Linked DNA regions of Drosophila melanogaster. The protein of the gene in region 2 binds, or shares a complex with, the protein of the main gene of each other region. Each region holds a gene or a part of one and is shown on either strand. Other genes may lie near its edges.

Region 1 (3,037 bases), on a different chromosome or scaffold from region 2:
CAGTTTCTCCTTCACTAAAGCGAAGCATAAGTGAATGCCAGGTGGGCGGATTCGTAAGAAGTCGTCAGAAGGTCGCAGGAGATGAACATGACGCTGTGAATGAGGAAGATCATCCAATGAAGGTCTATGTGACACTGGACAAGGAGGCCAAACCCTACTACTTGCTCATCTACCGCGCTTTGCACATAACTCTGTGTCTGTTTCTGAATGGTATGTTAAGGATTAGAACTAAATAGCCAAAATAATCAACTTGAAACATTCCACATTTGTCAGCTGACCAGGTTGCGCCGAAACAAGATCTCTACGACGATCTCCATGCCTACATGGCTCCCCAACTGACTTCGTTGGCCCGGGACATATCCAGCGAGTTGACAAAGGAGGCGGTGGGTGCTGCAGGCCAGGACAACTCCAGCGGGAACAGCGAAACGGCGCCGAAGTACTTGTTCATTAACGAACAAAGCCTGCAGCACCACACGAACTTTCAGAGGCACCTGCCCCAAGGGCTGCCCCGCAATGTGCTTAGTATCATTGCGGACTTGGCCAATGGCAGTGGCAAGGCGGAAATGGAGAGTGCTCCTGCCGAGGAAGTTCAGGTCAAGACCACCAATGACTATTGGATTGTGAAGCGGCGCTGTAACTACAGGCAGTACTATGTGATCCTGTGCAATAGCAAGGCCACCTTGCTGGACGTCACCCAGGAAGCGAGGCGCATTTTCGAGCAAGAGCTCACAGATGATGTATTTTTTGACAAATAAAGAGGAGGATTAGGTAAATAATGGGAGTGCGCCAATTGTGGGGTCTTTGTCCGGTTGCTTGCCAACAGAATCTGCAAGTGGGTCGGACATCCGACGACGGATTTCAAGCCAGCACTGCCCCGGAATCGCTGGCATCGTTATACACGCTGTTCGACGAGGAGGAGCTCGTGGTCGTGGTGACGCCATTCTGCGATTTGCTGATCTTAATGATGTATATTCTACGGTTGGACATGCAGATGCTGTAGTAGTGATGCTCGTAATCGATGGTGATCCTCTCGCAGCTGCTGCTCGGCATGAAGGACTCGTCGATGCTACAATATAGGCGTAATTATTACAAAATTCCTTCATCCTTTGTTTAAAAACGCACGTCTCTGTGAGATTTAGTAATCCCATTATCACATTTGCACTGCGCTCATCGTTCTTCAGATCTCCGCCGGACTCCAGAACTGCTCCATCTTCCTTTAGTATCAGATAGCCAATTTGATTGGGCACAATCAACTTTTCCCTGTCCATTTTCAACATATTTATTTATTTATCTTTCGCACCCACACCCACCAGTGTGACCGGACTAGATCCATTTAGATACCAAATCGGTAGCCTGGCAGCCCGGTTTCAGTGTTGTAAATTGCCACATGCGCGCCATTGACACAAATTCGAAATTGGGACACCGGGCTAAGGTTAATTCATTCAAAAGACAAACAACGCACATCAACAGGAAACTAAAACTCCGGCTCTAAGTCAACAGAGGGCGTGGTCGATAAGGGGGCGTGTGCAGGTGCATGGCTAATGCGTCCGTCTGGCGAAAAAGTGGTAAAAGGCCACGGACAAGGAAATTCCGGACACAGTCTCTCCGGAATGGCCAACTACTATCGACGCAAGAAGGGTGACGCGGTGTTCCTCAATGCAAAACCGCTGAACAGTGCTAATGCCCAGGCATACTTGTACGGGGTCCGCAAGTACTCCATTGGATTGGCGGAGCGATTGGATGCGGATTACGAAGCTCCTCCGTTGGATAGGAAAAAGAGCTCGGACAGCACGGCGTCCAATAATCCGGAATTTAAGCCGGTTTGTGGATTGCTACGCTGTTAAAACCATTTTTGTAAAACTGAATTTCGCTGCTTTCAGAGTGTTTTCTACCGAAACATAGATCCCATCAATTGGTTCTTGAGGATTATTGGAGTATTACCCATCGTGCGACATGGTCCTGCTCGTGCCAAGTTCGAAATGAACTCCGCCTCCTTTATTTACTCGGTGGTTTTCTTTGTGCTCCTGGCGGTGAGTGTGGTGTTTGCATAACATTTTTCAAAATTGACTATGGATACCATTATGTAACCCAAAACCGCTTTACAGTGCTATGTAGGCTATGTGGCCAACAACCGCATCCACATTGTGCGCTCCCTGAGTGGACCCTTCGAGGAGGCGGTTATTGCATACCTCTTTCTGGTCAACATCCTGCCCATTATGATTATACCAATATTGTGGTACGAGGCCAGGAAGATAGCAAAGCTCTTCAATGATTGGGATGACTTTGAGGTGTTGTACTACCAGATATCCGGGCACAGTTTGCCTCTGAAATTGCGACAGAAGGCGGTGTACATAGCCATCGTGCTGCCAATTCTCTCGGTTTTATCGGTGGTCATCACGCACGTCACCATGTCGGATTTGAACATTAACCAGGTGGTGCCCTACTGCATCCTGGACAACTTGACTGCAATGCTGGGTGCCTGGTGGTTCCTCATCTGCGAGGCCATGAGCATTACGGCTCATCTTCTGGCGGAGCGGTTCCAGAAGGCACTGAAACACATTGGACCCGCTGCCATGGTGGCAGACTACCGTGTTCTGTGGCTACGACTGAGCAAGTTGACCCGTGATACTGGAAATGCCCTGTGCTACACCTTTGTTTTCATGAGCCTCTACTTGTTCTTCATCATTACCCTTTCGATTTATGGACTAATGTCGCAACTCTCCGAGGGATTTGGCATCAAGGACATAGGACTGACTATCACGGCTTTGTGGAACATAGGACTGCTCTTCTATATTTGCGATGAGGCACATTATGCCTCGGTTAATGTGCGAACCAATTTCCAGAAGAAACTACTCATGGTGGAGCTTAACTGGATGAACTCGGATGCCCAGACGGAGATAAATATGTTTTTGCGAGCCACCGAAATGAATCCATCGACCATCAACTGCGGTGGCTTTTTTGATGTGAACAGGACTCTCTTTAAAGGACTCTTAACCACAATGGTCACTTATCTGGTGGTTTTGCTGCAGTTTCAGAT
Region 2 (3,195 bases):
CTGTGAATACTACTTTGAATTCGAAACTCCCGCCGCCTGCGACAGCGAAGCTTTCCAGTCCGAATCGGAGAATCTGCACGACGAACTCTGAAATGTTCAACAATCGACGATGAGGATGAGCCGCAGAGAAATGTGAATGCTTGGCATGCGTAGACCAGAGATTTGGGGATTGTATTTTAGTTTTAAAGGAGAATATCAATTTTGTCGAGATCATTCCCAAACTGCAGCAGGAAAACCATCAAGAATTGTAGCTAATTAACTCAGTATATGCATTTAAGCAAAAAGTACATCAAGTTTCATTCTGAATAAAGTGTAAACACCTAGTATTTTTAAAACAGATAACATCACTGAATGAAAATGTTGATTTAAAGTCGGTTTCCTTGAGCTCAAACATACAAATATTTTACTTTCGTGATACTTGAGCACAGACGATTTCAAGGTATAGGGAAAAGTATATTATAATTGAGAAACTATATGAAGAAATTTAATTGAATGTACACATTTTAGGCAGCAAGAATTTTTCATTTTAAATAAAGTGTCAATAGTTTGCATATTTGATATTGTTGCCAAAACGGAGGACTCGGAACTTTGTTCATCTTTGAGATCACCCTTCGCAGGATATGAAATAAATTCCCGGAATAGTACAATGGTGAGTTGAGATTTTTAAAAACTCATTCTGTTCTCAATAAAGTATGTATGTATAAACATTTAGTAAATATTAAAAATATGCATATTACAAGGTAGACTAACTTTAGGCCTCGGTGACAGCCTGTTTAATGTCCTCCAAATAGCCATCGACCTGGTGCTCCAGTGCGAGAATGTGTCCCGTGTTACAGTTCTCCGCGCCCACAAAGGTCAGGATGAGCGGCAGCTTGTTCATCTGGACCACCTGGTAATTGGAGTACATGGAGATGATGGTCTTGTTTCTGCCCAATCCCAGTTTGCTGGCCTGATCGCAGGCGGTGGTGAATGTGGGTATGAACGAGGGCATCAGGGCGAAGTCCACGTTCTTCTCCTGGCTAACCCGCAGGAGGGGCACTCCGTCGCGATCCGTAATCTGAATAACGTACAGCCCGCTGACCCTTTTGTGTAAATCGGGGAATGGGGGAAAAATTATAAGTTAATCATATTGGGAACAGCCTTTCCTGTGGAATATTTACTTTTGCAGCAGGCCGTCTAAATACTTCTTGATGTCGTCCGACATGGAAAATTTGTTAAAGCGAAAGACTAGAGAAGGTATGGCAATAATAATACGTTTTTCTCCGCATCCAATTATTTACACAAAACAAAGTGAGCAACAGCTGCCTCAAGTTATCGATAAGTTCATGTGGCAGGGGCGTAGTCGGCGGTCGAAGTAAAATATTTTCAGCAAGCGGAAAAAGGATGCGGCTAGTTTTTAACATTATTATTTAAATATTATATTATTAAGCTATCACGCAATACTTTATATAGTTTTTTAGAAACCCCTTCAAAAAATTCAATCCCCGCTCAACTGGAAATTTATCGATTACAGCCTGTTTTTGGTTGCGTGGAAAAACAGTTTGTTTGCAATACGTAAAATTGCTGCAAGTAATGGAAATAAAAGTGTAATACCAGCTTATAATTCGTATTACCATAGATTAAAACCTTCTGCATCATGGTGACTGGAGACCCGGTAGCGACAAAGACCCCAAACGCAGCGGATTCGGATGATAATGACTTTACCGCATCCATGTCGCACCTGACCATTGGCCAGCAAATCCAGGAGCTGTCCAAGCAACTGCAGAACACGAAGGAGGAGCTGCACCAGCAGGTGCGCGACAAGCACGGAGCTCTACTGCAGCAGGCCACCCACGCTGGGCGCTTCGATGCGGCTTTAAACGCGCTCGCCGAGGATGTGCAGCGGGTCAGGGAAACTGGGCACCGGCTGAAGAACCAGGTGGACACGCAGTACCAGCAGGTGGAGAACCAAACGCAAGTGCTAGGGCGTCTGCACGATGTCAGTCACCTACTCCGCTCGGCTGGAACATTGCTGAGCCTCACGGCCAAACTAAAAGCGACCAAGGATGTCCTACGCCTGGCCGAAATCCACTTTGAGTTGGGCCAACTCATCGAAGATAAGGAGCTAAAGGACATTGATTTTATCCAGCAGGAGCGAGCTTATGTGATCAGCTCTGCTCAGAAGATAAGGAACCTCACGCAGATGCAGTTGGTCACTGGGCTCCAGGAGCGCAATGAAAACCAAGTGGTTAATGCCTTGAAGGTGGATATAACAAACATTTTTCTAGCATATACCTAAGAGTTCTTATTCCTTAGATCTTTATGAATTTCAATACGCTGGAAAAATCGCTGGATAACCTATTGGCCACCTTTATTGCCGACATGGAGCAATCTCTGAAAGAGTGCTTTGCTGGCAACGATATATCTGTGCTGAACAAGTCCCCGACGCACAATGTGAGCAAACCTGCTCCCTCGAGGGGACCAGGAAAAACTCCCCAGTTGACAACCACTCAAAACTTCCGTGCCAAGTTCTGGAAGTCTCTTCATTGGCTGCTCTATGATGAACTTTTTGAGACTTGCACGCAAATCAAGCTGCTGAAAACGGCTCTCGAGCAGATCAACCAGTTTGGCTATACATCAGAATCATCGGATCAGTGCATTCCGCAGCGTTTTTGGCAGCAGGTGCAGCAGCTCCTGCGAAAATCCTTTGACGAATGCCCCCAGCATGTTACGCAGACCCTTCAGGAGGGGCTCTCAAAGCTCCTGACCTCCGCTCGTGGCTTGGAGCAGCGTCTGCATGGCGAGTTTCAGTTTGACAACGAACTATTTGCTCCCCTGGAAGTGGGTTACGTTAGCAAGTGTGCTGCCAACTTTAAGGCATGTCTGGCGGGAGTCGATTTGCCCGGCAACGAAACGGTGGACAACTTTATTCGTGTGGCATCAACGGAGCTCAGTGCTGCTTTGATCGATTCCCGTCTCACGAATGCCATAGCAAATGTATTTGCGGCCTGTGGAAAAGAGTTGTGCACAAAACTAGAGGCTCAAATCAAGCTGGGAGCTGATTCCAAGCAGGTCGTGGATCTGCCCAATCTGCAGCAGCAGCAAAACACCCAGCTGGCGAATGTTCTGTTCTACTATAAGGATTCAGTGCGTCGCATGCTCAGTGATCTTCATGTGCACTTTGAAAAGACACCGGGAACAGCTAGGGAGATTATA

Evidence for each region.
Region 1: Lamtor3 (region 2) and Lamtor4 share a complex: the UniProt entries of both Drosophila melanogaster proteins name them as parts of the ragulator complex.

The regions. Positions count from the first base shown.
Region 1 is NT_037436.4:3,895,177-3,898,213, reverse strand, and holds Lamtor4 (late endosomal/lysosomal adaptor, MAPK and MTOR activator 4), read right to left. Parts: upstream 1,315-3,037; 5' UTR 1,278-1,314; coding exon 1,123-1,277; intron 1,067-1,122; coding exon 859-1,066; downstream 1-858. Other genes in the region: Ccz1 (Caffeine, calcium, zinc sensitivity 1), read left to right, coding at 1-210, 274-755; Gr63a (gustatory receptor 63a), read left to right, coding at 1,611-1,820, 1,881-2,030, 2,106-3,037. UniProt on the Drosophila melanogaster protein: Regulator of the TOR pathway, a signaling cascade that promotes cell growth in response to growth factors, energy levels, and amino acids. As part of the Ragulator complex, may activate the TOR signaling cascade in response to amino acids.
Region 2 is NT_033779.5:17,479,343-17,482,537, reverse strand, and holds Lamtor3 (late endosomal/lysosomal adaptor, MAPK and MTOR activator 3), read right to left. Parts: upstream 1,308-3,195; 5' UTR 1,205-1,307; coding exon 1,161-1,204; intron 1,083-1,160; coding exon 752-1,082; 3' UTR 501-751; downstream 1-500. Other genes in the region: GCS2beta (glucosidase 2 beta subunit), read left to right, coding at 1-91; fws (four way stop), read left to right, coding at 1,637-2,242, 2,296-3,195. UniProt on the Drosophila melanogaster protein: Regulator of the TOR pathway, a signaling cascade that promotes cell growth in response to growth factors, energy levels, and amino acids. As part of the Ragulator complex, may activate the TOR signaling cascade in response to amino acids.